Saccharomyces cerevisiae S288C: one gene and its partners. Changing the gene in region 1 together with any one later gene gives a genetic interaction. Each region holds a gene or a part of one and is shown on either strand. Other genes may lie near its edges. The genes, in order: LRP1, RNH70 and APQ12.

Region 1 (3,295 bases):
CTGTTTTTTACTTTGTTTAGCGAATATTTCAGTGCCGTCGAAGGTAGTACTTTCATTCCCATGCTAATGCTTCCGGGGGAAAATGACCTCCTGTTAAGAAACTTCTTGGACATTTCCCTAGGTTCGCGGTCTTCATACTCCGGGTCGTTATTCGTTAGGCCATTAGAGGAGTTGAAGGACAATCTTTTTTTACAATCTTGTAAAACGTCGCTACTGGTGTTTTGTTTATCTGCCATTGCGCTAATCATTGATTTGGCTCTTCTTCTAGGCTTGACTCCATCTGTTGTAGAGGAACTGACTACTGACCATTTGGAAGGAACAGTTTTTCTTTCCAAATTACTTTGTTGTACCGGGCCTCTGCTGTCAAGGTGATCCGCCTCTGGCAGCGATTCTGCTGACATTGCCTCTAACCCTTCAAGAGTAGCTTGAGAATCATCGAAGTGCTCTAATTTTAAGTTTCCAACTCCGGGGGTAGGCTTATCATGAGAGTGCCTGATGGGTTCGAAAACCACTTTCCTGGCCATATCATCCGTCATCTTTCTAGTGTCATCTAATGATGTATCATCTCCTGAGATAGCATTAGAGCTTGAATGTGAGTTCGAGTGAATATGGCCTTTCAAATTTCCAAATGCCAATCTAGATAATGATGATGGTTTACTTTTACTTCCTGCTTCCGTTGTATTAAGCTGTTGGTTACTTGGAGTTGATGATTTGGATGCTGCAAGAATATTGTCTAAATTTTTCAAAAATGGGCCATCGCTTTCTTTTGTCGATGAAGTGTTTTTATTGTTAGTGCTATTTTCGGAAAGGGCTCCTGATATATTAGATGAGTTTTTTTTCCTGTCCTTTGGTTCATTCCTGGAAATTGTTCCATTGTCAGCGTCTTGTACGTTTATTTTGGGAATGTGGCTTACGGCATTATGGGCGAAGGAAAGAAACGTTTCAAAGGCGGTATGTTCATCATGGCCGTCTGGAGTTTTTTCCTCAGCTTGATTGCTGGACCCTTCTCGTTTCCCACTTTGCAGTTTTTCCTTTTCTAATGCCTGGACGGATAAACTTGGTACAGAATTTGAATTCGAGTTACCATCCTGAAAGCGACCCTTCAATGAACCTGCCGTCAAATTCGTGTTTGTCTTTTCAAGCCTGTTTGTTTCCATGGGATCTATAACGATTGGAATATTGAATACACCTTGGCTATGCGCTAAGGAAGATGCCGCCGCCTTTTGAGATCCTTTTGCAGGAGATTCCGTGAAAGTTTCGGGCTTAAGTAAAGACGGAATATCCGGATTTCCTCCTACTCTTCTGAATCGCTCAGCACTGGCTGTTGTGCTAACATTCTCTCCTGTAGTATTATTTAAAAAATTACGATCCTTCTTGTGCTTACGTTTGACTCCAATTGTCCTTAAAAAGGCAGTGCCCCAATGGTGCTTCTTTTTTGAATCTCTAGTCATTACTGTATATTTTCAACACTATCCATGGAGAGTAAGAACCACACACAGTAGCAATAATTTAATATCAATGGCAATAGCAACGAAATTACAGTAGATACCGTGAGCCAGCAGAAACAGATTGATATTTCGTATTTCAAGAAGGCAGAATCATTCAACCACCTACCGTCCCCCAGGAGGACAGATCCCAACGAGGGACCTTTGCGCCCAATTCTACTCCTGCAAGGGTTTCACTTAGAAATGCTTTTGCCAAGGTAAAGGACCCCTAAGACTAGAATGAACTACGCCGGTCCGTCCGGCCGTCATACTCCGTGGAAATTTACTTCTAAAAGGAGAAACAGCGATCTTTGCCGCATAAAGCCAGCCACTACTGGCGTGGAAAGATTTTTAGATTAGAAGACAATACAAAGCGGCAACGTCATAACCTTGGTATTTATTGGGCAAGCATTTTCATATCAGCGTACATACACCAGCAATGGGAATGTAAAGAAGAGTCGTTACTAGCATATTTTCTATTCATGCGGGTACCCAACATGTCACGTTTCACGAATTCTCGTGCAGTTTTTCAGCGATGAGCTAAGGCAGATGGTTATGGACTGTGCCTTCTGTAGTCTGTGGAAGAAAAAACTGGTTAACAGCCTACAGTAGAAATCGATTAATATAAACATATATCTAGCAACGTAACGGAGTATTAGATCAGTAATGGAAGATATCGAAAAGATAAAACCATACGTTAGGAGTTTTTCAAAGGCGTTAGACGAGCTGAAACCAGAAATAGAGAAACTAACGTCGAAGTCACTGGATGAACAGCTGTTGCTATTATCTGATGAGAGGGCTAAATTAGAACTAATTAATCGTTACGCGTATGTATTGAGTTCTCTGATGTTTGCTAATATGAAAGTCCTAGGCGTCAAAGATATGTCTCCTATACTCGGCGAACTGAAAAGAGTAAAATCATACATGGATAAGGCTAAACAATACGATAATAGGATAACCAAATCCAACGAAAAATCGCAGGCAGAGCAAGAAAAAGCTAAGAATATCATTTCCAATGTTTTGGACGGTAATAAAAACCAATTCGAGCCCTCTATAAGCAGGAGCAACTTTCAAGGGAAGCATACGAAATTTGAAAACGATGAACTGGCAGAGAGTACAACGACTAAGATTATTGACAGTACCGATCATATAAGGAAAGCAAGTAGTAAGAAAAGTAAAAGATTGGATAAAGTTGGAAAAAAGAAAGGAGGGAAGAAGTAGAGGTCGACGTATACTGGTACATGAGTGAAAAAATGATTAAAGGTGATGTGAGAGCACAAATGCAAAAATGCTTATAGGGTTTATATACTTTTATAATAACAATAAGAACTCGTTGAAGTAACTAATATGTGTATATGCTATTCTTGTAGTTGGCAGTGAACACTTTTGTGTGAATTGACGTTATATAAGACTGTAGAAATATCTAAGAAAAGAGAGTTTTCATAAAACCCTTCAAGCTTAACTACCAAAAAGCATTCATACTTAGAAGTTGAAATGCACGATGATGCCAAATTGATGAAAAAAGCTAAAAATGCATTTCAGAAGGGAAGAAAATAATAAGCAACATAACAGAGGGAATAGGTGCGCTTAGTCTTGTTGCTGTAAAATTAACCAATTATTCTTGTATTGTTCTAACGATCCGACCATTTCATCCTGAATACTTGTCTTCCTGCCAGCTCCTAATTTTTTATCGTGAGTGGAGCCAGCGAAAGTTTGAGCATAAATTTCATAAGGACCGAAAATTTGCCTTTCATCCGGGGAGGTTGACGAGGATTCGTTGTCACCACCTTCCATTTTGCCATGTGCCATCT
Region 2 (3,600 bases), on another chromosome or scaffold:
GTAGCAATAGAATCTGTAAGATCACGATTTCATGAATTACATCATAAAGAAATAAAATGGACAGACATTGAAGGATATTTCCGCAGGACACGTAATCTTTGCGATTGAATTGCTGCACGAACATTAACATTAGTTCTTTTGCTAAAGTTTCTCCAATATCTGGAATATCAGAATTTAGCAAGGCAATCAAAGCGGATAAAGCAGGGATTAGCCTGCCATTCTGTTTGTTCAGAGTAAAATCCACAACATTTTTACAAATTATGTTGCGGCCAATAAGTATATTGACTTGAAATAAGTCTCTGTGCGATTCCTGTAAGTTGTCCATTGTTAAATTGGATATTATGGGTGAAACGTGTGACCTTATCATTTCCCAGTTTTCTCTCTGAAATTTAATGTCTTCATCCTGTATGGTAGCGGTAGACATGCTGGTTTGTAGCCTTTTTATTCCTTTTTAGGTTTCTTACTCACAATGCCAAAATAAATATCAGTGTAATATAATTTTTCAAGAGTACGTAATGGAAAAAGATAAAAATAAGGACCGTCATAAAAAGAGACGTGATTAAACCTAAAAATCTAAAGTAAAGAAGTGTAAGATGGTTGAGGAAAATTCCAGAGTTTTGATTGTTCTTCCTTATACACCGCCTAGTGCTACTTTGCAGAGGATTATAGGGCAAACTATTCCGTTCTTAAGAGAATGTCAAAGTCAACTAGACATCGTGATTGTACCTGAATTCAAAACCTCATTCCAGTTGGATTCTGCGCTAGGGAAGATGTACAGTATTACCAGGGATGTCCTTTTGGGCTATGGAATGATCAACAGCGGAATCAACATCATATTCAACAATATTCATTTCGTCGAGAGTAATTTGCAATGGAAAGTGGTTTTATTGCCACAGGAATCCACTTTTGAAACTTGGAAGCTAGAGTTGGGACAAGGACAATACCATAGTATAGAACATTATGCATTACACGATAATATAATGGAAGAGATAGAAGGTCCCAAAGATGCTAACAAATTTCATGTCACCGCATTGGGCGGAACGTTCGACCACATTCACGATGGACATAAAATATTGTTGAGCGTCTCTACATTCATCACGTCACAAAGGTTAATTTGTGGAATTACGTGCGATGAGCTCTTGCAAAACAAGAAATACAAAGAGTTGATTGAACCTTATGATACACGATGCAGGCACGTACATCAATTCATCAAGTTGTTAAAACCGGATCTCTCCGTAGAACTAGTTCCCTTAAGGGACGTGTGCGGCCCCACAGGGAAAGTACCCGAGATAGAATGTTTAGTTGTGAGTAGAGAAACCGTCAGTGGGGCAGAGACTGTGAATAAGACTAGGATTGAAAAAGGCATGAGCCCATTGGCAGTACATGTGGTTAATGTACTTGGAGGAAGGGAGGAAGACGGCTGGAGCGAGAAGTTAAGCAGCACGGAAATCAGACGCCTACTTAAGTCCTCTGCTTCGCCAACGTGCACTCCACAAAACCCTTGCGTATAAACATATTTTTGTATATTTTATTGTTGTAGTTCACTATTATTTTATTGTTAGTATTTTATAAGTGGCGCGAGGACACAATAGAAATGGAGGGAAGATTTTTGCTCGATGGCAATACCAAGGATGACTGAGGAAGAAAACAATAATAGACTATACTCAGGCAAACATGCAAGTAGAAGGGCCTGACACTAACTTCGTGAGTGATTTGGCTTTGGGATCAAAGAAAAGAAGGTTATCCAAGACTTCTGTACAAGAGGATGATCATACAAATGTGGTATCGGAAGTGAATAAGAATAAGAAGAAAAAAAAGGCAAAGCCTATGACATGCACATTGCTAAAGTCTGTGGTTGAAAAAGGTATTGGTATAAAGGATGTAAGAGACATGACTCAATACTTGTTGCAGGCTGAAAACAACTCTCCCAAATGGATTGATATTTGTAACAGGTCAAGTTTACAGAAAATGATAGTTCTGTTCATTCCAGGTTTACAACCAGATGATTTTGAGAACGGAAAAAATACCTTTAATGAAATCAGTGATGATAACTTCAAATATATTCCTGGAGAAATTGCCTCCACGTTTCATACATTTCCCGTGATGGCACCTGGTTCCAAGATGACGCTCTTTTCGCCCTACAATTCATTTATTAATGTTGGATTGTCCAAAATGGAGAAAATAAATAAATTGAAAGAGTTACAAAAGAAGAAGAAAATTACTATTAACGATTTGGTTCTATCCGAACAACAGTTAGTGGCAAACGATTACCCACTGGATTCTGGAGACACCAATTTTGATACAGACTGGGTACAAACTGTTGACTTTACCCATGGTGGCTCCCACATCTTTGCACTAGACTGTGAAATGTGTCTTTCCGAACAAGGTTTAGTTCTAACTAGGATTTCTCTAGTGAATTTTGACAATGAAGTTATCTATGAAGAGTTGGTGAAACCTGATGTCCCCATAGTGGACTATTTGACACGTTACAGTGGTATAACTGAAGAGAAACTAACTGTTGGTGCCAAGAAAACATTGCGAGAAGTACAAAAAGATTTACTAAAGATAATAAGTCGTTCAGATATTTTGATAGGACATTCGCTACAGAATGATTTGAAAGTCATGAAATTGAAACATCCATTGGTCGTGGATACAGCTATTATATACCATCATAAAGCTGGCGATCCTTTCAAGCCAAGTTTAAAATACTTGAGCGAAACCTTTCTGAATAAAAGCATTCAAAACGGAGAACACGATTCTGTCGAAGATGCAAGGGCTTGTCTTGAATTGACGAAATTAAAAATCTTAAATGGGTTAGCATTTGGGATAGGTATCAATACGGAGAACTTGTTCACCAAATTACATCGTTTTGAAGTGAAAACCGTTCTTCTCAACGATATGATTATTAAAAATCATACTGAGGACGATTCTAAGGGCCAGTTAATCCGTTGCGTCGAAGATGATGAGACATGGACCCATATTCACGAGAATCTAAATAAAGATGTCAAACTTATTGTGGGGAGAATCAAGAACTTAGAGAGGTCACGCAACTATAATAAAAAGCCACGGAAGGAAACTCCTTCGTTCGATGCGTCCATGGTTCTTCATGATATAGGGCAACATCTAACACAATTATACGAGAATGCTACACCAGGTACTATGATTTTGATCATGTCGGGTACAGGCGACACAAGACCATGGAACAATCTTTCAACTGAGTTAGAGTTTATTCAAGACAAAAAGGAAAGATTAGATAAAAGACGCGAAAGGGAACCTGAAATAGTAGAAGCCATAAAGTTAGCCCGGGGTGGTGTAGCATCCTTTACTGTAAAATAATTCTATGTGTATAAATATATAAATATATATATATATATATATATATATATATGCATAATACTTTTCCTTTTAATTCATTTTCACATCTTTACTCTCCTTTGTATTATCATTGTTCACTCCCGCAGATAACCCAGGAATGGCTTCACTATTACCGACAGCGCCTCTTATATCATCCACACTAAGAGCTTCATCTCCTTGATTAGCAGAAGGAGCACCGGTGGCCTTACTTGTATCACCCTTAGTGTGCGATGTCATCAACGACTT
Region 3 (3,157 bases), on another chromosome or scaffold:
ACATATGGCGTCTTTGGCCAGATGCCTTTAATCTGAGGATCACCGAAGGCCAAAATATGAATATCCTCATCGTTACCTGCAGAGGCATGGCTACCATGCCATTGCTCTCGAACATCACTGAAGTAATTCTTCACTTTGTCCACAAAAGTCAAATCTTTCTGTAGTGGTGCGTTCTTGTTAGAGCAGTTCCATGAACACTGTTCTGGATGGAAAGATGGATAAGTATAGATGTAAATATTAGCGACGATAGTGAGGAAGGTGGCAAAATATGCAAACTTCTTGACCGCACACCTGAGCATCTTGGGATTCTTGGTACAATGCTGCTGCTGTTGTTTTCAGTTCTTCAATCGCGACCGGATAAATCGCTTGTAATAACTTAGTTTGCAATTTTTCTTAAAACTTCAGAAATCAAGTCACAATTGTAATGAATAATTTGGAAAACACAAGTCACCAAAAATAGCTCAATATTTGATAGTGACTAGGGGAGGAATCTAGCAAAAAAAACGTTCTTTATCTATATGAATATTTAGAAATTAAGATATGTAATTACTTTAAGATGTTCCGAGTAAGCAGAGGCGTTTCGCTCTATTTAAGCAACTGTTCCATTTTCATCTGCGCCAAATGATAAACAGTGTTGATTTCTCTTTCCAGGGCATTAATAAACAGAGTATAAATTTTAAATGCGTAGTATCTATTTGACATGACGAAATTGTAGAAATTCAACAGGTCCACAGTCAAAAACTGCTGCGAACCACGCATATAAATACCGATACATGTTACTACCAACGTCAAATACAGGAATCTTTTGACCAGAGTAATGAAGTTCATCAACAACTTGTAAAAGACATAAAATGTGAAGAAAATAAACAATAGTTGGAAAACTAACGGGTGTGATTGGCTGAACTTAGTAATAGTAGGAATCAACCATTGGATGACGTCAATGGCAGACTTTAGGCATTGTGTTACTACGGATAGTTCGTATTGCGGTTGAGTAGCGTCCATTTTTGGGTTGCTCACTTTGCCCTTTGGTGACTGTTACGAAATTTTTTTCAGTAGCTTTTTCTCTTCCAGTAATTATATTTTCTCTACAAAAAATATACTCACTACAAAAGCCAGCAAATAAATGATAATATTCGTACGACACTAGAGAATATGATATTGTATTAAGTAAATATATATATATAGAGAAGGAGAGAGAAAGACAAGAACAGGGCGGCTATTAAGCGTCGTCTTCGTCATTCATAGAGATAGCTGTCTGTGGCTTTTCTTCTTCTGCAACCTCAGGCTTTGCTTCCGGCTCTTCCGCAAATGAGTTGGATAGGAACTCTTTCATTAGGCCAGCCGAGGTTTCAAAATACTCAGCTTGAGCCTTGGCCAATTCCTTCAAATCTTCACTGAAGTTAGCGTGAGAAATAACCTCCTGCAAGCACACAGTAGCGTCTTCAGTGACTTGAGCAAACTGGTCTTCCAAAGTCTCCATTTGGACTCTCAAGGAAGCTTCCTTTTCTGGCTTCTTGTTGTTTGCCAAGTTAGTTCTTGCCACGTCATATCTTAATCTCATGGAATGGACATCCTTGCGGCACTTATCGGCCTTACCGATCTCAAAAGAGAGCCTTTCCCTCAAATTTTTATTGAATTTGGTTTGAATCAAGGTATCTTGTTGAATTCTAGCTTGAGCAATCTTAGCCTGCACATCACTGAATTGCAAGAGTGCCGAAGCCAAGGGTTGTTCCTCGGTGGGGAACATCTTGTTCAAACATTCACTGGAGTTCAAAGCCACTTTACTGAGGGCGTAGTTCAACGTCTTGGGTTCTTTGATGGGGCCTGGAGCAACTAAGATGTTTTGTGCCTCAGACGCAGATGTAGCATGAGTCAACTCTGTCAACTTGGAAGCCACGCTTCTTGAAAACTCGTTGACGGATTCGTTGATGTATTTAGGGTAATCGTACGATCCGTTTTCGTAGATAGCAGTTACACCCAAGAAGTGGTTGTAAATCAGTTTGATGGTGTCAACCTTATCTTCCAGCTCTGTGTACTCTCTTGGCAATTGGGAGATGTCCGTCACCTGGCCCAAACGTTCCTGGACCATTCTTTGGGTGGATTGCGCCAAACTGGGCAATTCCTGGGTTTTTTCGGAAACACTTGTGGATATTTCCTGTAATTTCTTGCTCAAAGAGCTGGCGAAGGCATTAAACGACATTGATGACTATGATTTGTTGCTTATTCCACTCCTCTGCCTACAAATCATATAGGTTATAGGTGAAGAAGGTTGCAATTTTCTTGTTTTTGACATCCCGATTAATCCACCGCTCGCTTCTCACGGTAATAAGGGAAAATGTCTGCCAGTATGAAGCAAACAACATTAAACTGAGAACATTGGTGAGTCAAGACCATAACTGGAAGACGTGGTATCAAGACGCCTTCACGGTAGTATGTGGAAGATTATGCGTTCATGGAAATGTGGGGGAATGCGCTGGGCACATCGCCAGCGACCCTCACACGAGCTGCTGTCGCAACTGTCGTTCGACCAGCATTACAAGATTAGGTCGAACATTGAGCTGCTGATACAGGACTACGCTAGTAAACCAATTGCGCCCCTAAACTACGAGTATTTCCTGCAATACAGGCCGCCGCTGACCAAGAAGGAGGAGTACATGCTGACGATCAAGACAATCAACCTGTTGCTTTCATTGACGTGTAAACGGCTTAATGCCATTCAGAGGCTACCGTATAATGCGGTAATCAACCCTCATATTGAGAGAACCAACTCTTTGTATTTGAAAAGCTTGCAAACGTTGCTATCAATCGCATACCCGTACGAGTTGCACAATCCTCCCAAGATACAGGCCAAGTTCACAGAACTGCTGGACGACCACGAGGACGCCATTGTGGTATTGGCAAAAGGTCTTCAGGAAATCCAATCGTGTTACCCAAAGTTTCAAATTTCGCAGTTCTTGAACTTCCACCTGAAGGAGAGAATCACGATGAAGCTGCTTGTGACGCACTATTTGTCGTTGATGGCACAGAACAAAGGTGACACGAACAAAAGGATGATTGGAATCTTGCACCGGGACCTCCCCATAGCACAATTGATCAAGCACGTTTCTGATTATGTCAATGATATATGCTTTGTGAAGTTCAACACTCAGCGGACCCC

The links.
Region 2: mutations in LRP1 (region 1) and RNH70 are lethal when combined (synthetic lethality), as found in Saccharomyces cerevisiae (7 studies listed by BioGRID, with this or other methods).
Region 3: mutations in LRP1 (region 1) and APQ12 together harm fitness less than expected from each alone (positive genetic interaction), as found in Saccharomyces cerevisiae (5 studies listed by BioGRID).

The regions. Positions count from the first base shown.
Region 1 is NC_001140.6:265,388-268,682, forward strand, and holds LRP1 (Lrp1p), read left to right. Parts: upstream 1-2,150; coding exon 2,151-2,705; downstream 2,706-3,295. Other genes in the region: LAM4 (Lam4p), read right to left, coding at 1-1,451; putative serine/threonine protein kinase KSP1, read right to left, coding at 3,072-3,295. UniProt on the Saccharomyces cerevisiae protein: Required for exosome-dependent processing of pre-rRNA and small nucleolar RNA (snRNA) precursors. Involved in processing of 35S pre-rRNA at the A0, A1 and A2 sites. Required for activity of RRP6 in 7S pre-rRNA processing.
Region 2 is NC_001139.9:1,043,555-1,047,154, reverse strand, and holds RNH70 (Rnh70p), read left to right. Parts: upstream 1-1,674; coding exon 1,675-3,336; downstream 3,337-3,600. Other genes in the region: U2-type spliceosomal complex subunit CWC22, read right to left, coding at 1-424; CAB4 (putative pantetheine-phosphate adenylyltransferase), read left to right, coding at 594-1,511; RTT102 (Rtt102p), read right to left, coding at 3,406-3,600. UniProt on the Saccharomyces cerevisiae protein: 3' exoribonuclease required for 5S rRNA maturation and for the proper maturation of the 5' cistron of the tRNA-Arg3 dicistronic gene. Involved with REX2 in the maturation of the 5.8S rRNA, and with REX2 and REX3, in the 3' processing of the U5L snRNA.
Region 3 is NC_001141.2:275,568-278,724, reverse strand, and holds APQ12 (Apq12p), read right to left. Parts: upstream 1,003-3,157; coding exon 586-1,002; downstream 1-585. Other genes in the region: TED1 (Ted1p), read right to left, coding at 1-299; GVP36 (Gvp36p), read right to left, coding at 1,220-2,200; protein kinase PKP1, read left to right, coding at 2,433-3,157. UniProt on the Saccharomyces cerevisiae protein: Involved in the regulation of lipid homeostasis in the endoplasmic reticulum, thereby impacting nuclear pore complex biogenesis and localization, and nucleocytoplasmic mRNA transport.